Arabidopsis thaliana: one gene and its partners. The protein of the gene in region 1 interacts with the protein of each later gene in a pairwise test. Each region holds a gene or a part of one and is shown on either strand. Other genes may lie near its edges.

Region 1 (7,030 bases):
GACGAACATTTGGTTTACTACTGAAGATAGAGATTACGTCCTTCTAATTAGAAGTAATTAATTATTTTAGTATTTGGAAGCTAATGGTGGAGATGTAACCGTATCTTAGTGGATCGAGATATTGTATATAAAATATGTATGCTACATCGAATAATAAACTGAAAGAGAGTAAAAAGGGATATTTAATGGGAAGAAAAGAAGGGTGGAGATGTAACAAAGGCGAAGATAATGGATATTCTTGGGATGTTGTCTTCAAGGCCACGAGCTTAGATTCTTTTAGTTTTGCTCAATTTGTTAAGTTTCTACTTTTCCTTTTGTTGCTTACTACTTTTGCTCATGATCTCCATATACATATCATACATATATATAGTATACTATCTTTAGACTGATTTCTCTATACACTATCTTTTAACTTATGTATCGTTTCAAAACTCAGGACGTACATGTTTAAATTTGGTTATATAACCACGACCATTTCAAGTATATATGTCATACCATACCAGATTTAATATAACTTCTATGAAGAAAATACATAAAGTTGGATTAAAATGCAAGTGACATCTTTTTAGCATAGGTTCATTTGGCATAGAAGAAATATATAACTAAAAATGAACTTTAACTTAAATAGATTTTACTATATTACAATTTTTTCTTTTTACATGGTCTAATTTATTTTTCTAAAATTAGTATAATTGTTGTTTTGATGAAACAATAATACCGTAAGCAATAGTTGCTAAAAGATGTCCAAATATTTATAAATTACAAAGTAAATCAAATAAGGAAGAAGACACGTGGAAAACACCAAATAAGAGAAGAAATGGAAAAAACAGAAAGAAATTTTTTAACAAGAAAAATCAATTAGTCCTCAAACCTGAGATATTTAAAGTAATCAACTAAAACAGGAACACTTGACTAACAAAGAAATTTGAAACGTGGTCCAACTTTCACTTAATTATATTGTTTTCTCTAAGGCTTATGCAATATATGCCTTAAGCAAATGCCGAATCTGTTTTTTTTTTTTTTGTTATTGGATATTGACTGAAAATAAGGGGTTTTTTCACACTTGAAGATCTCAAAAGAGAAAACTATTACAACGGAAATTCATTGTAAAAGAAGTGATTAAGCAAATTGAGCAAAGGTTTTTATGTGGTTTATTTCATTATATGATTGACATCAAATTGTATATATATGGTTGTTTTATTTAACAATATATATGGATATAACGTACAAACTAAATATGTTTGATTGACGAAAAAAAATATATGTATGTTTGATTAACAACATAGCACATATTCAACTGATTTTTGTCCTGATCATCTACAACTTAATAAGAACACACAACATTGAACAAATCTTTGACAAAATACTATTTTTGGGTTTGAAATTTTGAATACTTACAATTATTCTTCTCGATCTTCCTCTCTTTCCTTAAATCCTGCGTACAAATCCGTCGACGCAATACATTACACAGTTGTCAATTGGTTCTCAGCTCTACCAAAAACATCTATTGCCAAAAGAAAGGTCTATTTGTACTTCACTGTTACAGCTGAGAACATTAAATATAATAAGCAAATTTGATAAAACAAAGGGTTCTCACCTTATTCCAAAAGAATAGTGTAAAATAGGGTAATAGAGAAATGTTAATAAAAGGAAATTAAAAATAGATATTTTGGTTGGTTCAGATTTTGTTTCGTAGATCTACAGGGAAATCTCCGCCGTCAATGCAAAGCGAAGGTGACACTTGGGGAAGGACCAGTGGTCCGTACAATGTTACTTACCCATTTCTCTTCACGAGACGTCGATAATCAAATTGTTTATTTTCATATTTTTAAGTCCGCAGTTTTATTAAAAAATCATGGACCCGACATTAGTACGAGATATACCAATGAGAAGTCGACACGCAAATCCTAAAGAAACCACTGTGGTTTTTGCAAACAAGAGAAACCAGCTTTAGCTTTTCCCTAAAACCACTCTTACCCAAATCTCTCCATAAATAAAGATCCCGAGACTCAAACACAAGTCTTTTTATAAAGGAAAGAAAGAAAAACTTTCCTAATTGGTTCATACCAAAGTCTGAGCTCTTCTTTATATCTCTCTTGTAGTTTCTTATTGGGGGTCTTTGTTTTGTTTGGTTCTTTTAGAGTAAGAAGTTTCTTAAAAAAGGATCAAAAATGGGAAGGGGTAGGGTTCAATTGAAGAGGATAGAGAACAAGATCAATAGACAAGTGACATTCTCGAAAAGAAGAGCTGGTCTTTTGAAGAAAGCTCATGAGATCTCTGTTCTCTGTGATGCTGAAGTTGCTCTTGTTGTCTTCTCCCATAAGGGAAAACTCTTCGAATACTCCACTGATTCTTGGTAACTTCAACTAATTCTTTACTTTTAAAAAAATCTTTTAATCTGCTACTTTATATAGTTTTTTCCCCCTTAAGTTGACTACTTGATTTGCCCTAATTATTCACTACTGCTTTTGTTTATATATTTTCTAGGGCTTCCATTTTTGGATTTTTTGATTAGCCAGAAAAATGTTTAATACAAATTTGTATAATTTAAAAATCAAAACTTTAGGGCCGTAGTGAAGTGAACCCTAGAACACACTAATTATACCATAGTAATTACCTTGATATATTGTGCAATATTTATCAGCATCATATCTTCAAACTCAAGAGCATATAGAAGGGTGTATGTTTAATCTTTGAACTAGGGTTTTGATCCCTAACTCATAATGAATTCTTTTGTTCTCCAATAGCCATGTCTTTCGAATTTGCAGATCTAAGCTCTAATTGATGCCATAGTAAGAAAATAAGATCTGTAGTTTTCACTCGCTCACTGAGTTCGAGTTTTAAATGAAGTGTCGTTTCTTTTTTCATATATAAGTTGCAACTGGATTATAATTAAAAAATATTATGGGACGAGAAAATAAATTAAAATAGATATAGATAATAATGTCAAATTGAGAATTTTTTATTAGAAAGAATATTTAACTTACGAGTTGTTTTTTTTCAGCTGTAAAAGAATATCTAATTTGTTCTCACGACTGTGTCTTCATGTTTTGCAAATCTAAGCAAAGAAAATGTTTAAACTCGGATCTTAAGATTATGAACTCGTAATATAAAACACTATATAGTATTAAATTTGAACTAGTGTTGCTTCTTTTTCTATTTGACTTTAGAAATTAAAACTGAAACAAAGATGTCAAATCTGAGTAGGGAGTCTTTGACCTCTGGGGATCCATAAAAAGAATTAACTCCATCCTAAAATCGGCTTCTTACCGATGGTCAAACTTAGCTCCAACAAGCAACAGCTGTTCTTCTTTTTTTTTTTTTCTTTTTTTTTTTAAGCATTGTCCTTGTTCTGAAAAAAAATAAGATTGGTAAATTGGCAAGATTATAATAATTTATTATAATGTGTCGCATCTAAGAAGATTTTCTGTACCTAATTGTAGCAAAATTAAAGAAACCGCAGTTAGAACTCGAAGCTAAGAGCATAGGGTCTATGATTCATACTGTTTTGTTATTATAAAGGTATCATAGAGATCGGTACTTGATTTGTTATAGGAAATCTTGGTTTAATTGCATAAAACCATCATTAGATTTATCCTAAAATGTGATGATATTTTGGTTACATCTCCATATTATTTATATAATAAAATGATAATTGGTTGATGATAAAGCTAACCCTAATTCTGTGAAATGATCAGTATGGAGAAGATACTTGAACGCTATGAGAGGTACTCTTACGCCGAAAGACAGCTTATTGCACCTGAGTCCGACGTCAATGTATTTCAATAAATATTTCTCCTTTTAATCCACATATATATTATATCAATCTATTTGTAGTATTGATGAATTTTATTTGTATAAAACTTCTGGTACACAGACAAACTGGTCGATGGAGTATAACAGGCTTAAGGCTAAGATTGAGCTTTTGGAGAGAAACCAGAGGTACACATTTACACTCATCACATTTCTATCTAGGAAATCGATCGGGTTCCATTTTAAAGTAAGTTAAAATTCATTGATGCTATTGAAATTCAGGCATTATCTTGGGGAAGACTTGCAAGCAATGAGCCCTAAAGAGCTTCAGAATCTGGAGCAGCAGCTTGACACTGCTCTTAAGCACATCCGCACTAGAAAAGTATTGCCTTCTGCTATTTCGTTGAACATATCTATATAACTTAAACGTTTACAAGTGTTATTATAATGTGAACATTGAAATACATATGTGTATGTATCAATATATATATCAGTAATCAATATCAATTTGATATGTCTATAGGTTGGTTCGAATGTATGAGTTATGTTGTGTATTTTAAGACTCATATTACTTAAAGTAATGGGTTGTTAATGTTGATGTGTGTGTATGCAGAACCAACTTATGTACGAGTCCATCAATGAGCTCCAAAAAAAGGTATGTAAAACCCCTATCAAATGTATGTCTTATAGAGAAACGTATAGGAAAGCTAATTAACAATCGTGCCGTTTCGGAAATGACAGGAGAAGGCCATACAGGAGCAAAACAGCATGCTTTCTAAACAGGTAACACATGTCATCATTTCTCTTTCATCAACATGTTGTCCATTGCATTACTGTTACCTTCCACTGTTCTGCTCCACACTTCCAGCCAAGCTATACCTACGATATCTTCATATCTCCACTTAACTTCGGCACCATTAAATAAAAATAGAAAATCTTTGCAAATTGTTTGAAATAGCATAGATGTTGTCTATTGATTGATATAATCACCAGCCTGTACGTAGATATGGTTTGTCCGTTTAGTTTTAAGGTTGTCTCTCGGATTGAAAATATTTGAAACTTTGAAATGTTGTCCCATCATTCTACTTAGCTCATATCTATGTATATGAATATAGACACTACTCCTAATTATAAAAATGTTATAATAGTTCATTGCATGAGTGCAACTGTGAAAATAACTATTTGTAACCATTGCATATATATAGTTTCTTCACTTTGAAAATTGATGATGATAATATGGTTTGAAATAAATTTGCTGGCAGATCAAGGAGAGGGAAAAAATTCTTAGGGCTCAACAGGAGCAGTGGGATCAGCAGAACCAAGGCCACAATATGCCTCCCCCTCTGCCACCGCAGCAGCACCAAATCCAGCATCCTTACATGCTCTCTCATCAGCCATCTCCTTTTCTCAACATGGGGTAACAAAAAATTACTAATCAGTCTTAATTTAAAGCACATATGTTATGCAAGCTAGTTACGTTAGGTGTTGTAATTTCATTGAAGTTATAGCTGTTAGTGATGGTTACATGATGTCATGATTTTGAAACTAGAAAACTTTATTTTAAAACATTATTTTATTAACGTAGGTTAATGCAATGGTCGCCAAACGAACAAACTTATTAGTGTGGAAAATGTACATGGAATGGTTGCGAAAAGCCTAAGTCGACTTTTTGTTGTTGTTGGTCTATGTGTTTAAGTACAATTTTAGTTTGTTAGATAAATGAAATTAATATATCTTTGACATTTCACAATGGACTGATATTTGATTTTCCTTTGTTGTACGGTGAAACATATGATTACATATGCACTTTCATATATATCCTATGTATGATTGTGAATGCAGTGGTCTGTATCAAGAAGATGATCCTATGGCAATGAGGAGGAATGATCTCGAACTGACTCTTGAACCCGTTTACAACTGCAACCTTGGCTGCTTCGCCGCATGAAGCATTTCCATATATATATTTGTAATCGTCAACAATAAAAACAGTTTGCCACATACATATAAATAGTGGCTAGGCTCTTTTCATCCAATTAATATATTTTGGCAAATGTTCGATGTTCTTATATCATCATATATAAATTAGCAGGCTCCTTTCTTCTTTTGTAATTTGATAAGTTTATTTGCTTCAATATGGAGCAAAATTGTAATATATTTGAAGGTCAGAGAGAATGAACGTGAACTTAATAGATCGGACCTTTTTTTTTTTTTGTTGCATTAAGTTAGGAGTGGCAAAATTTCTTATTATTTCAAGTTTACAACAAGCGAACTTGAGTGGTTGGGCCGTATTAATCGGAATAGAACCCAATTAGAATCAAGGAAGGATGTTGGCCTATAAAGGCCCAGAATTTGCTTCTAATTAGATAAGATAGGCAATAATAACAGTGCCTCCGAATGGATGAGGATCTGTAATGTAACACCCTGGTAGTCTCTCTGATACATTTGTTTGATTAGTGATCGAATAATTAGTGTGTATTGACTTGTTTCATGGAGCTAAGGACACGAGACTTACAGTAAAGGGACCAGTGAAAATGCCCACTAAGGTTCTTAAGATATATCACCACCAGAAAGGCACGTTGTGGTAAGCGTAACTCTCACATTATCTTCTCTTCATCTACATTCAGTAAAATGTTGCTAAACTCAAGAAAAGGCACGTTGTGGTAAGCGTAACTCTCACATTATCTTCTCTTCGTTGTATTCCTGCTAATTTTTTTAGAAAACAATTTCTGTATTAAACATTTTGGTAATTATATTGTTTGGTCTTCATGTTTCAGTTACTACAACTTTATATTTTTTGGTTCTTGAAGAAGTTTCCTTCTTTGGATAGAGGATTGTTGAAGAAGTCAACAGAGCAGAATTAAATGCATAATGAAGAGAATAGGAAAGCAAAGCATAATTTTGATTTTTGAGATAGTCAGATATATGAGTTATTAATTAATTCGTTTTGAGTATAGATAGAAATGACAGATATATAATTCCTTTTTATTAAGAAGTCACGCTTACAGAATAACAATATTGGTTCACATATATATTGTCATAAAATTTAGATAAAACTTGTTTAGTGTACTCTTTTTACTAATTTTCTTATATTGCTTCAGCAAAGCCGATTCTTGGGGTTTTAACATCTCCATAATCAAACACCGTATGGAACTTCGTCATGAAAGCCTCACCCAAGACCCTACATTTAAATCCAATGGTTATTTTCTTAACATATGGGTTAGAGAAAATTTTATTACAACAACTTTAGAGCCTATTACCAGTCTTTACGACGATTTTT
Region 2 (3,862 bases), 8.8 Mb from region 1:
GTACATATATATAAGTCCAAAATAATTTCAAACACATAGTATTCAAATAGTATTAGGCCTATCGAAACCGGTTTTGGCCAGGCCGGTCAGCTTGCTACATGTATGGGTTAGCAAACAACGGGCTTCGTGGGCTCTACGACGGCAATGTGTTGGAATTGTATCCTTGATTGAATCTGAAAAAGAAGAAGAAGAATCCATGAGAAGAAGAAGATGAAGAACAGAGGAAGAAGAAGATGATGTCGTGAAGAGAAGAGTCAAAGGAAGAGAAGAAAGTCAACAAACATATGGGCTTTGTGTTTTGTAATATGGTTGTAATGGGCTGAAGATGAATTAGGCCCAAGTATGTTTAGTTAAAGAGTGTTGTGTTGTAAGTCTAAGTTAGAGTAGAAGAGTGAATCAAGGAGTGAGAGTTCCAATGTATGTAGAAGTAGGTCTTGTGTAAGAGCCATCATTAGGTCTAAGTGCAAGTGTGCAAGTGTGTGTGTGTCTCAAGTAGAAGTAGTTTATGTATGTGTGTCCTTGTGTTGTGTAAGAGTAACCAAGTAATTAACAATGTAGTCTTTGGAGGAAAACGCTTTTGTGTCTCTCTAGAACAAAGAATAAAATCTGTGTGAGAGACAAGAGAGCAAGAGATCTAACTAAAGTGGTTAGATATGTGAGAATTACAACACAATGTCATATATGTATACATCAGAATATTAAACCTACAAAACAAAAGTAGCTCTGGAAATCTCAATAATGTAGTCTCTTAGAAGGATCCACAAAGGCCACAGAGAAGAAAACATAATGCTTAATAACAAAGATGAACAATGTGGATTTTGCCAGAATATTTATGGCTGTGAGCTTGTTTCTTCAAGAAGTCTCTACCTTTTAACTTCTCAAAAATCAAGTTTCTTAAACAAGTCTTCAATGCTGAGGATGTCACAGAAGAAGTCTTCAACAAACCTGTAGCCATGTTTTGATCACAGAAGAATCAGTACTTATATGTTTCTAATTGATACAAGATTCTTCTCCAGCAAAACCCTGATTTCTTCTTCCAAATCTCACTTGTTCTTCTTTCAGAATCTTCCATACGAATCTTTGATTCTGTTGTAATTCTCACAATCTCTCTATTTCTCACACTCCTTTACGGTTTCATTGTCTTTAGAGAGAAAGAACAAAAACTATTTTCTTTTAATCTTCTACTTTGATAATATTCTTGGATACTCTTACACAACACAAACAACACATACATATAGTGGTTTTGCTCCACTTGGTAGACTACACACACTTAGACTCTAGACCACATCATTGTCCTAAGACTTACATCATCCACTCTACTATGTTGGAACTCCAACACCTTAATTCACTCTCTTAGTTTACTTTAGTTGTCACAACCTCTTCTTGTTGGACCTTAACTAGACAACTTGTACAAAACACTTATTCGTATGGGCCTTATCTCATTACCTATGACCCAACACACAAAACACAAACCCATTTGGTTTGTTGACTTTCTTCTCTTCCTTTGACTCCTCTCTTCACGACGTCTCTTCTCCGCCATCGTCTTCTTCTTCCGTTGCTTCTTCCTTTGTTCTTCATCTTCTTCTTCTCACCAAGCTTGTTATTCTTGTAGGATTTAGTTTAGGATACTCAATTCCAACAGATTCTCGTAATCTCCATATCTAGATCCTCTTCCGAATCCGTAATCACCAATTCACCATTATCAACCAAAAGCTTGAGTTTTTGTTGTGTATCGGACATTGATTCACCAGCATAAAACAGAGATTCCATACTAGGGTTTGAGATTGTATTCTTCAATACTGTGTCGTCTTCTTCTTCCTCACAAAGTTTGCAATTTTGGTTTTTGGATTCGTAACGGTCACAAAGAGAAGAAGAGAGGCTCCTAAATATTTTGTTGTATTGACGCTTTTACCCTTCATAACGGTCTTATTTTATTGACCGTTGACCAAACCGGTTAAAGGAAGAATTTGCATGTTGGTTTACTCGTCCTCCTTCGCTTATTAGACAATCAGTAGTAAACAAATTCACCGACTAAACCAAAAATTCCACTAAATACAGATTCGGTTTAACTAAACCGGTCTTTGTTTGTATTAGATGGTTTTGAGTAATTTACTTTTAGAAAAGGAAACAGTTTTAATTTTTCGTTTAATTACCGATTAGGGTATTATCAGTAAAAAAGGAAATCAAAATCGATGTTGTTTCAGGTGGTTTTGTGTACTAATTACTTTCAAAAAAGGAAAACAAGTTTATTTAGTCGTTTAATTACTGATTAGCAATTATCAGAAAAAGGAAATAACATGGATTAATTAGAAAACGAGTTAGGGCTACTAAGTCTATATATATATCTATCTGATTAGAACGAGAGTGAGTCCATTATCATATTCTTCTTTCGCAACAAGCGGCAGCACACAAAACTCTCAAGTCTTGTCTCGTTCTCTTTTGTTTGTGAAACTGAGAAAAAAAACAGAATGGGTGGCGTGAAGAGGAAGATTGCTATAGAGAAGATACAGAACAAAAATCCACGAGCGGTTTCATTCTCCAAACGTCGTAAGGGTCTGTATAGCAAAGCTTCTGAACTTTGTCTTCTCTCGGACGCAGAGATTGCGATCATAGCGACTCCTGTTTCTTCTAATTCCAACGCCGCTTTCTACAGTTTTGGCCACTCCTCTGTTGATAATGTCGTCGCTGCTTTTCTCGCCAATCAGCGTCCTTGTGATGAAAGGTTTTGGTGGGAAGATGAGAGTCTTCTAAAATCAGAGAATCTGGAGGAGTTGAGAGAGGCGATGGATTCAATGTCGACTATGTTGCGAGATCTCAAGGAGTTGGAGAAGCAAAGAGATCATCAAACGCAAACCCTAATTCATCAGCCGTGTTCTGCAAGGGTTTGCATTCAAGATTATGTAACTGTGAATTTCGATGGGTTTAACACGGAAGAGCAAACCCTAGCGGTTTCTGACAATAGTAACAACAACGGTTTACTTGGAAACTTGGATGAGTGCAATGAAGATTTTGATGATCTCGATCAAATCTTCGATACGGTGACAAACTCTGAATTTTTATCGGTGAATTTGGAGATGGATGATGTAACTGTGAATTCTGAAGGGAACACGGAAGAGCAAACCCTAGCGGTTTCTGACAATAGCAACAACAACGGTTTACTTGGAAACTTGGATGAGTGCAATGAAGATTTTGATGATCTCGATCAAATCATTGAGTATTTGACAAGCTCTGAAGCTTTATCCATGAATTTAAAGATGGATGATGTCTGATGCATGCCTCTATGGTGACAATTTGTGTTTATGTTGAAATTGGATCCTTGATTTAAGTATTGCTTCGGTTTAGTATATCTTTGTATGTCTTTTATCAGCTTATGACTTTATTTGATCTGCGTGATATTTTCGTATATCTAACCAAAACATAAGAGCATCCCCAACCACAATACACCAAATTTTAACACCAAATTTGATATTTTGGTGTTTCAATTGTTTTATCATCTCCAACCATAACACCAATTTCACACTAAAAATATTACTTTTTATTATAATATTATTAAACTTAAGATTTTCTTTATTTTTTTAATAGTTTGATATACATAACATATTTCATAACTAAATTATTTTAACTTAATTAATATAAGATTACAATCGATAAATTGAAAATAACAAAAAAAAATTACATTGTACTAATTCTCAGAATTAGTATATACGGACCACAAGTGTTCAATTAATGCATTTCGAAGTTTAATATGAGCTTCACGGTCTTTGATTTTCCTGTGTCGAGCTAAAAATTCTTGAAATCGACCATCATCGATCGTCTCCCGCCGTTTCATCTTCTAGAGTTGGGACCTCGGCTCTTTCTTCAA
Region 3 (4,733 bases), on another chromosome or scaffold:
ATGGTATGAAAACAAAGAAAAACTTTGTGAACGTGACACCATACTGATAATCTAACATAAAAAGTCCTAATTAATTGTAAATATATCAAAAAATTAATGTCACACGCGGCAAGTCGAGGAGCTTGCAAATACAAACAAGCCAAGCCATCGTTTATTTAGTAATAAATTAAAATTATACTTTTTAAAAAAAGAAATGAAGAATTTGTCTTCTCCTACGGCTCTTCTCAGAAATTGCGATATACTAGTTAACCACGACACGTGTGTACTTTGCTGGGCCAAAATATTCAGGCACCACCACAGATCAACTGCCATGTCATCTCTTCTATCAACTTTGATGTCCCAAAGCATTGAACTCTCATCTCTGATTATAACACTTGGCTAGTTTTCGATGGCTGATTTTGATACTTTTTGATTGCCACTTTCTGATAAGTTCAATAAGACTTTAGAAATTGATCTCTTACGTTAAATTTTAGTTGGTACTTCTTTTTGGTTTAATTTTAGTTGATACTTGATAGATATAATTTCGAATTATGTTTTTTTTTACAAATATCAGATTTAATTATTAAAAAAAGAATATTAGGGTTTGAAAATATCTTATCTAGATGGCCCAATTTAATATTTTTGCTTGTATTAATTAGTCAAAAGAAATTTCCGACAAGCAAGGTGAACGTAAACCTTAAACTAATCAGGAAAGCAAGAATTAAAGTTGCTTTTCACATTAATACTAATATTGTTAAATTGTTATCGCTATCGTGAAGAAAATAAAGTCTAGGGAATCTGCCTCAAATATGGTTTCCCTGTTGGCAAAAATTTAACTTGCTTCCATTCAAATGATGAAATGTTACGAAAAATTAGCCTTTTGTCTTTGGAGTAATGTTTGTTAAATAATCACGAGGCATTCATTCTTAAAATACCATAACATTTATAGAGGTTTGAAGTACCATAATTTGTAAAACTAAACTAGAGAAATTTTGCGAAATCAGTTGTATGAAGACTTTCTTAAAAATAACGTTATATAGACTCTAGAAAAAAACTATTATATGCCATTTCTATTTAGTTTTTTTTTCTAAAAATATATATAAATATGGTGTTGTTAACATAAAAACAGAAAAAAAGAAAAATTTAGAAAATTTTCTCAAGAATCATTATATCTGTGATTTATCATATAAGTTCAAATATGATATTAGAAACAAATAGTTTACGAGTATAATAGTATTGTCAATTTTTCAATCTGAAGTAAATATCTTTTTGTAAGGAAGGGGTCAACAAATGATCACAACAGAGTTGGCAAAAAGTTATCAAATCGCATGCACGGAAGTTTTACGTGTGGTGAAGGTAAACTTGTATTACACTTATCTATAAAAATTAGTTTAGGCTTTGATTCTAAATCAAATCTCCGATTAGAAAAAATTGCGTAAGCAAATAGCTGGAAAAAATTGTATCCCATCATACTTAAGTCACAATGTTTTGTTTTTGAGATTTGTGATGTAATCAATATATGTTTTACAATGCAAGTATAATAATATTAAAGTCACATTCTAAGAAAATTATGATTTGTGTCATACGTATACAAAAACACCCGTCACACATCCTGACTTCTGAACGTTAAATCTGTCGCACACAATCATAAAAATTTAAAAATTCACCAGAGATGTACTGAAAAGAATATAATTAATCACATGATGATATATGCATAGGAGATGAGGATTATTCATTTTCTGAAATTCCCTATATGAACCATTATAATTGTTTAGTAATCAGTTCAGAAATGCTAATCATTATATGAACCATTATAATTCCCTTCATTTTTATTTAAGATCCACTTAACAGGATTTGTTAATATGCACCCACATCACTAAATACATTGGTACGCAACCGTTGTTCCATTTCCATTTTCACATCGACCAGAATGTTTACTATGCGGTAAATTGTGTAGTATGCAGATTTTTTTGTATCATTTAATTTTCTAACACTTGTTAAGTCGAAACTAATTTTGTCACAAGTAAAAGAAATAAAAAAGGTGGAAATTATTAATCAGTAGTTAGATGATTAGTTTCGAGTTGAAATGAAACTCGACTTAACAAGTGATAGCGACGACTCTAGAAACAGCCAAAATCCGCCCTATTGCTACCTGTCGACCCACAAATCGTTTACTCAAAAATGAATAAAAAATTTACGATAAAGCAAACCCAAAGTTATATCTTATTATATGCTAAGGAGCCCTCCCAAAAAAGAACAACAAATCACATTTTTATATAACTGTTAACATAATAATCTCAGCCTCATCAACACACATATATAGATAGCCAACATCACACAAACATAGAGATTCCAAAAAATAAAAATAAAGAAAACATAAATCCTCTGAGGAAAAATTCCGATGAGATGACAGAAGGTGGAGAATATTCTCCGGCGATGATGTCAGCAGAGCCATTCTTGACCATGAAGAAGATGAAGAAGAGCAACCACAACAAGAACAATCAGAGAAGGTTTAGCGACGAGCAGATCAAGTCACTGGAGATGATGTTTGAGTCTGAGACAAGGCTTGAGCCAAGGAAGAAGGTTCAATTAGCTAGAGAGCTAGGGTTGCAGCCGAGGCAAGTGGCTATATGGTTTCAGAACAAGAGGGCTCGTTGGAAATCCAAGCAGCTCGAGACTGAGTACAACATTCTCAGACAAAACTACGACAACTTGGCTTCTCAGTTCGAGTCCTTAAAGAAAGAAAAACAAGCTTTAGTCTCTGAGGTATGTTCTAAACTCTGTTTATTCTTACATGGTTAGTTAAAATCTGTGTATTTTGTGGTTGTATACTGAAAAACTGTGGTTTTAAATATGTGATAAAATATGTGCTTTAGTGGTTATATTGCAATTAAGGACTGATTAGGTGATCAAGAAAAACTCTGTTTTGATGGTTTATTGAAGGAGAGAATAGATTGTTGATGAGTTGTTTTATACCTTTATGTAGTTGCAGAGGCTAAAAGAGGCGACGCAAAAGAAGACACAGGAGGAGGAAAGGCAGTGTAGTGGAGATCAAGCGGTGGTTGCTCTAAGCAGCACACATCATGAATCAGAAAACGAAGAGAACCGGAGGCGTAAACCGGAAGAGGTTAGACCGGAGATGGAGATGAAAGATGATAAGGGTCATCATGGGGTTATGTGTGATCATCATGATTATGAAGATGATGATAATGGTTATAGTAACAACATCAAGAGAGAGTATTTTGGTGGGTTTGAGGAAGAACCAGATCACTTAATGAACATTGTTGAACCAGCTGATAGTTGTTTGACATCATCTGATGATTGGAGAGGTTTCAAATCAGATACTACTACTCTCTTGGACCAATCCAGCAACAATTACCCTTGGCGGGATTTTTGGTCATGAAAACAATAAACTCTAAACAAGAAGATGAAACAGATTGAGACTAAAGATTGGATATATACATATTCAAATCGAAATTTACCGGTCTACATCGCATGAACCGAGCCACGGATATAGAGATATTCGGTCCAGCAAATGACTCGTTTCTCAGCGAGAATTTTGCAGGATTTTGAGCTGAAATTGTATGGTTTTGTCTGTATAAATGATGTGTTTAGAAAGACGTATATTCTCAGTTCGTGTTTGTAATTCTGTTTTTAAGTAGTAAGTACTCGTCATGCTTTGTAGCTAAGTAGTAAGTTTAAGACTAAATTTGGATGAATAAAAATCAAAAGCAGGAGAAATCATATATATAAAGTGTTATGCATTAATATGTAAAAGATCAAGAAGAGAACTAAGTTGGTGAGAAGAAACTGATATTAGGAACACGAAAAGAACCATGAAACCCAAGTTAACATCTTCTTGACTCGGAAGATTTAAGGAGAAACTTTGTTTTTTTCTCAACAAAAGCAGAGTATCAAAACAGAGTCAGTCAATTCGCAAATTCTTATGTATTTAACTTGCAGATTTGAGGAAAGCAAGTCAGCAGAAAAAGCCGTCGTTGCTTTAGAGGAGAGTACTTCAGGTGAGCCAAAGACACCAACCGAATCACATGAAAAGTTGAGAAAAGTAAGATCTGATCAAGGAAGCTCCACAACGAGCAGCAACCAGGAGAATATCGGATCATCAAGCGTAAGCTTCCGTAACCAAGTTCTTCAGTCCACAGTAACGAATCAGAAGCAAGATTCACCCATACCGGTAGAATCAAATCGCGAGAAAGCAGCTAGCAAGGAAGTAGAAGCTGGTTCTCAAAGCACCAATGAGGGGATTGCTGGACAAAGCAGTAGCACAGAGAAACCAAAGGAAGAAGAAAGTGCGAAACAACGTTGGAGTAGAAGCCAGAGAGAAGCTGCATTGATGAAGTTCCGGTTGAAGAGGAAAGATCGATGCTTTGACAAAAAGGTAAGAGACACACAAGCTTCATCATAAAAACAGCATCTGAAACAAATACAAGATCAAACTGATTCAATGGAGATGTATAAAAATGGATTACAGGTTCGGTACCAGAGCAGGAAGAAGCTAGCAGAACAACGTCCTCGAGTGAAAGGCCAGTTCGTGCGAACCGTGAATTCAGACGCGTCTACAAAATCATGAAGAGCTCTTTCAGTTTTTCCTCTGATTTCTTTTGTTGATTTTATAACAGAAACTTATTTAGCTTTTGCAATCTTTAGTGTGCTTTTTTTTTTTATGTATTTGATTGGCTTCTTCTTCTCAGCTAATATGAGATACTGGGGCAACTTTTGTATATATGTCTGCA
Region 4 (5,423 bases), on another chromosome or scaffold:
GTAGAGTTGTAGTTAAACTTTGAAATACGAGGCCGAAATCAAACTAATCGTTGGAGTGACATAGAGTTGGGCTTCACTTTGGATCGATAATAGGCCAACTCATTTCAGTAGGAAGTACTTGGAGTGTTTTTCTTTTGTACTACACGCATGTACTACTTTTCTTTCATTTCACATCCAATAGAGTACTACTTTAACACACAAAGCTGAAAACTCCCAAAATTTGGTAGGATACAAGATTACAAAACAAAGAAAAAAAGGACGGACCAAAACTAATCGTGCACATAAAGATCTCAATGAATTTAATGAGTTAATTATTTTTATACGGTTCGATTTAAACCAAAAATCAAAAATGGCATCCTCAAAGAAAATTTTGCATGAATTAAAGACCAGTTTGGTTCAATGTTTTGTCATCAGTAACTACACAAACAAATACTTAAAATTTAATATATCTACAATAGTTTTTGTGTGTATTATTTGTTTCTAATTGACTTTTTTTACACCTGCCTAACAATCTCCCTTACACGTAATGAACTTCCAATTTACACGGAGAAACAACCACCCCTGTTGACACGTGTCATCACCACACCGACCGGCGGTGCATCACCCTTAGCTAATCCGGCTAACTCCAAACGTCGATGAGCAGACGGACGAGGAAGATTCTCCGGTACGATGGTCTCTAGCGAGTTCTCAAGCCAAGGCGGACACGTCCTCTTGTCACTCCACCTCCGCGGCGGCACCACACCCGCAGCCATCTCTTCTACCGGCGATTTCACAACCGCAGCTTCCACTGATGCAACATCATTGATCTGAATCCCGCCGATTACGACAGTTGCCGCCACCCCCAAGACAAAAGAACACTTGTTTTTCCGTGGCTCTGTCTCATTTTCTGTTCTCCTACTAAACAATAAAAGAACAAAGATCATTGATATGAAAAATTATCAGGTAAATAATAACTTTTCATGAATAGAAGAGATACCAAGAGATCTTTGACGTTGTCTTGAGCAGTGAAGCTAATGATTGTGCAGAATTTGAATCTAGGGGAGGAAGATTTAGACAGCAGCTTATTCTCCCTGCCATTGTTATTCCTCTGTTTTCGTTTCCTTCTTTTTCTTAAGAATCCACCTAGAACAAATTTTATTTTATTCCTTTCACCTCCAACATATATATAACTACTAACCCATTCTTACTTGGGTCACTCATTTTTTCTTACTATATATGTATCCTCAAATTATTACATTTCATATGCGCATGCAATACAAACCACATCTAAATTTTTCTTCCAATATGTTCTTTCTCTATACTTAACTAAAGCCCAAAGAATGAACTTAACCTAGAAAAGATGGACTTGACCCAATAGCATTGGTCCGTTGGAGATGTTAGGTCCATACTCCATACAAAGACAAATTGAACAAAAGTCGTGAATCTGTTTGCTACGTCTGAATAACAACGTACACGTATCACGCCTTGCGAACAAATTATTTGACAATGATGGCCAATTAGCATGTGTCATCACTTGTTACCACGTCAACAAGGTTCTTGTCGGTCCGTTTAATTAATAGTAACCATCGTTTTCAGGAAAAAAATCCACATAAAAAGTTTCTAATGGCGAAACAATATTCAAATATTTCCTAACAACTACCATGAGACTGATTCTTTTTCTCTTCCGAAAAATTAATGAGACTGAGTCCTAATTTTTCTTATAGTTAATTTGGTGACCATCAAAGAATGTAAAAGTATTTAGGAAACAGCACAAATAATCTGGCAATTACGGTCTACAACATGTTTATTTACTTATTTTTAAATTATAGAAAAATTTAATATTTTAATATCTTATATTTAATGCCCTAAATAACACTAAATCACACATATAAATAGCAGAGATATAAATATAGAAAAACATTCCAAGCATTTTTCAGTACTTAACATTTATACAGAAAAACAATTAAACATTTTTCAGCACTTAATAATTAACATATGTGAGAAATTCATAAACTCTATTAAATATTCATGAAAATAATGTATTTTTAATTTTATAAGTAATATCTCATGTGTCGACTTTTTTTATATAAAAAAGATGTAAAAAAGGTCCCAAGTTACTAAAATTCAATTTTGTCAACTTAACTCAAAATCTTTTTGCTATTAGTCTAAAATTTCAGATTTCCTTTCTTGCTATTTTTCAAAATACTATGTTTACTTCTCATATAAACTGTAAATATATCCCTTTTTTAATAAGAAAAAAAATCTCTCACTTCAAAAACAAAAAGGAAAAAAAAAAGCAAAGAGAAAAAGTAAATAATACGCCGACGTTTCGTGTTTATGTTAAGCTTCCTTTTTCCTTTTTCCTTTTTCTTTTTGCCTTTTAAATAACCGTCGGACTCATATTTCTCGCCTCCGCCGGCGAACAGTTTTATTATCTCTCTCTTTCTGCGTGTTCCAATTTCTTCCACAAAACCCTAATTTTCTCTTAAACCCTGAAATTCGTGTAACCTTTCAACAATCTCTTCAATTTTGTTTTCGATTCTGAATCCATTGTTTACGAATCTCTCATCTAAAGCTACATTCTTCGTTAAATCGTTTTTAATCGACTCGCTCACTCGTGAGTTGACTCGTCAGCTGTTTCCATAATTGCTTATTGAATTTTTATACGATGATGTTTCAATATGGAAGAAACTAGAGGAATTTCTGATCCAGAGAATGGGAGTTCGAGTTACGGCGGTAAACCGCCGAATCCACTCTCCTTCTCTTCTTCCTCCGCCGCTGCTGCCGTTTACAGGCAAACCTTCGACGGCGAGCGATCGTTGGCGCCGTGTAATAAGAGGTCACTGGTTCGACACTCATCTCTCGTAAGATTCGTTTCTCTTCAACTTGATTTGTGGATCAGTTAGGTTTATTTTGTGTATTGAATGATCAATTTAAGTTGAGGTTTTGTAATTATTGCTCTGCTTTTGGATTTGATCATTATTGGTTTCCTAATGTGTATAATTAAGGTAGAAAGTTTCTGTTTTTAATGTGTCATTATGAGATGTTTGAGGTTTTCTGATTGATTTTCATTTTGGTAGGTGAAGACAATGGTGTCAGATATATCTGTTGAGAATGAGTTTACTATAGAGAAGAACAAGTCTGAGTTTGTTCCTGCTACGCGTTCTGGAGCTTGGTCTGATATTGGCTCCAGGTCAAGCATGGAAGATGCTTATCTATGCGTTGATAATTTCATGGATAGCTTTGGCCTTCTGAATTCTGAGGCTGGTCCAAGTGCCTTCTATGGGGTATGTTCTTTCTTCAGTTTTCCTGATTTTTTGTAGATTTGTAGCATAAGCAAACAACTGTGAATGTAGTGAAAATATGGGGATCTCTTATTGAATTTTGTTTGTTATTAGGTATTTGATGGACATGGTGGGAAGCATGCCGCTGAGTTTGCATGTCACCATATACCGAGGTACATTGTTGAAGATCAAGAGTTTCCTAGTGAAATCAATAAGGTGTTATCTTCAGCATTTCTTCAAACAGACACTGCCTTCTTAGAGGCGTGTTCATTGGATGGGAGCCTTGCTTCAGGAACTACTGCTTTGGCAGCTATTCTTTTTGGAAGGTTTGTTGATTCAACTCTTATTATCTTTTAGTTTTGTCTAACCTAAACTCTTACATCTTGGTTATGTTAAAGAAAAACGTGTTTGGGAATAGATGCTTATCCTCAACTGCGTAGTGTGCATAATCTTGACCTTTAACACAATCATGTACAACTAATTCGCCTGTAGATGTATTCTCTGCCCATATGTGCTGCTGCTATAATGTAGTTATTGTCTCATATGGTCTTTGAGTCACGTATATACTTGCTCATTTCATACTCTATTAGTATTCTGGTATGAAACCGTTTGGTACCGTGTTAACATATAGTTTTGTGGTAACAGGTCGTTGGTGGTAGCAAACGCTGGAGATTGCAGAGCAGTCTTATCCCGTCAGGGAAAAGCCATTGAAATGTCAAGAGACCACAAACCCATGAGCAGTAAGGAAAGGAGACGCATTGAAGCATCGGGTGGACATGTATTCGATGGCTATCTAAATGGACAACTTAATGTGGCTCGAGCGCTAGGTGACTTTCATATGGAAGGCATGAAGAAGAAGAAAGATGGTTCTGATTGTGGACCTCTAATTGCAGAGCCTGAGCTCATGACAACAAAACTAACAGAAGAGGATGAGTTCCTTATAATTGGGTGTGACGGGGTTTGGGATGTGTTCATGAGCCAGAATGCTGTAGATTTTGCCAGAAGGAGACTACAGGAGCACAATGACCCGGTCATGTGTAGTAAGGAGCTGGTTGAGGAAGCTTTGAAGAGGAAGAGTGCTGATAATGTGACGGCAGTGGTTGTGTGTCTTCAGCCACAGCCACCACCGAACTTGGTAGCGCCGAGGTTGAGAGTTCACAGAAGCTTCTCGGCGGAGGGTTTAAAAGATTTACAGAGCTACTTGGATGGCTTGGGAAACTAATTGGGGGACATGAGGATGGTGACGAATGATTGATTTCTCTGTTTTTGTTTTGTCTTTTCTTACAATTTTATAGTTTGGGGTTTGGAGGTTTTGTTCTGTTAAATTCTCGCAATTTGAGTAAGTTATAACATGAGGCGGCATACAATAATTTATTGTTTGGTAGGATATATTTTTTTGTCACTTTTGCATAATAATAATTCTGCTTCAGTCTCATTTGTTTTGTAACTAGAAAGTTATTCCAATTCCTGCGTTTACCGAATATGTTGTGTTCTTGCAGAATGACGTATGTTAGATATGCAGTAAACTCGAGGGTCGGCTTTGACCACATCGCCACTTATCGGTTTGCGGATGCTGGAAAAGTCAGTCTAGTGATGAGGCTGAGTGAGCCATCGTCAGTTACTATTTTATCGTGAAACTCTGAACAACGAGATTGTCCCGGATATTCAAATGAGGAACAAGGCCCAATAGTCCGATCAAAGTGGGCTATTCGTATCGCTTACGAGGCCTATACGATGGTAATTGAATTCACGCGCATTCATCAGCGCGTGATTTGGAGTTGCTCAATTTCAGATCGCACAGGCTCTGTTAATCATCTCCTCCTCCGAAAGACAGAGAAAGAGACAAATCAAATTCATTCATATCAAAGAGATAGAGAGAAAATGTCCGGTGTGGCTATTCATGCGAGTTCATGGGGCGCGGCTCTGGTGAGAATCTCCCCGTACACTTTCTCCGCCATCGGAATCGCCATCTCCATCGGCGTCTCTGTTCTTGGTGCTGCCTGGTATAAATCCTTTTCTTCTTCTCCCCATTGATTTGCGAAATCATCATGCTTACGAAAACTATTTTGCTCTCTCTCTTTATGGTTTAGGGGAATTTACATTACCGGAAGTAGTTTGATCGGTGCCGCCATTGAAGCTCCTCGAATCACTTCCAAGAAT

What was found.
Region 2: the proteins of AP1 (region 1) and AGL97 interact in a two-hybrid assay, tested with the Arabidopsis thaliana proteins (one large-scale study listed by BioGRID).
Region 3: the proteins of AP1 (region 1) and HB-7 interact in a two-hybrid assay, tested with the Arabidopsis thaliana proteins (one large-scale study listed by BioGRID).
Region 4: the proteins of AP1 (region 1) and DBP1 interact in a two-hybrid assay, tested with the Arabidopsis thaliana proteins (one large-scale study listed by BioGRID).

The regions. Positions count from the first base shown.
Region 1 is NC_003070.9:25,981,244-25,988,273, reverse strand, and holds AP1 (K-box region and MADS-box transcription factor family protein), read left to right. Parts: upstream 1-1,924; 5' UTR 1,925-2,171; coding exon 2,172-2,356; intron 2,357-3,336; exon of another isoform or gene 3,337-3,522; intron 3,523-3,698; coding exon 3,699-3,777; intron 3,778-3,877; coding exon 3,878-3,942; intron 3,943-4,035; coding exon 4,036-4,135; intron 4,136-4,366; coding exon 4,367-4,408; intron 4,409-4,494; coding exon 4,495-4,536; intron 4,537-5,015; coding exon 5,016-5,170; intron 5,171-5,338; coding exon of another isoform or gene 5,339-5,375; exon of another isoform or gene 5,376-5,595; coding exon 5,596-5,698; 3' UTR 5,699-5,980; downstream 5,981-7,030. Other genes in the region: AT1G69100 (Eukaryotic aspartyl protease family protein), read right to left, coding at 6,838-6,931, 7,011-7,030. UniProt on the Arabidopsis thaliana protein: Transcription factor that promotes early floral meristem identity in synergy with LEAFY. Is required subsequently for the transition of an inflorescence meristem into a floral meristem. Is indispensable for normal development of sepals and petals in flowers.
Region 2 is NC_003070.9:17,231,542-17,235,403, reverse strand, and holds AGL97 (AGAMOUS-like 97), read left to right. Parts: upstream 1-2,452; 5' UTR 2,453-2,468; coding exon 2,469-3,269; downstream 3,270-3,862. UniProt on the Arabidopsis thaliana protein: Putative transcription factor.
Region 3 is NC_003071.7:19,164,426-19,169,158, reverse strand, and holds HB-7 (homeobox 7), read left to right. Parts: upstream 1-2,191; 5' UTR 2,192-2,385; coding exon 2,386-2,745; intron 2,746-2,965; coding exon 2,966-3,382; 3' UTR 3,383-3,885; downstream 3,886-4,733. Other genes in the region: AT2G46670 (CCT motif family protein), read left to right, coding at 3,926-4,378, 4,472-4,570. UniProt on the Arabidopsis thaliana protein: Probable transcription activator that may act as growth regulators in response to water deficit.
Region 4 is NC_003071.7:10,902,216-10,907,638, reverse strand, and holds DBP1 (DNA-binding protein phosphatase 1), read left to right. Parts: upstream 1-2,371; 5' UTR 2,372-2,660; coding exon 2,661-2,843; intron 2,844-3,059; coding exon 3,060-3,266; intron 3,267-3,377; coding exon 3,378-3,589; intron 3,590-3,908; coding exon 3,909-4,485; 3' UTR 4,486-4,644; exon of another isoform or gene 4,645-4,762; 3' UTR 4,763-4,923; downstream 4,924-5,423. Other genes in the region: AT2G25625 (histone deacetylase-like protein), read right to left, coding at 540-897, 977-1,077; AT2G25610 (ATPase, F0/V0 complex, subunit C protein), read left to right, coding at 4,998-5,266, 5,354-5,423.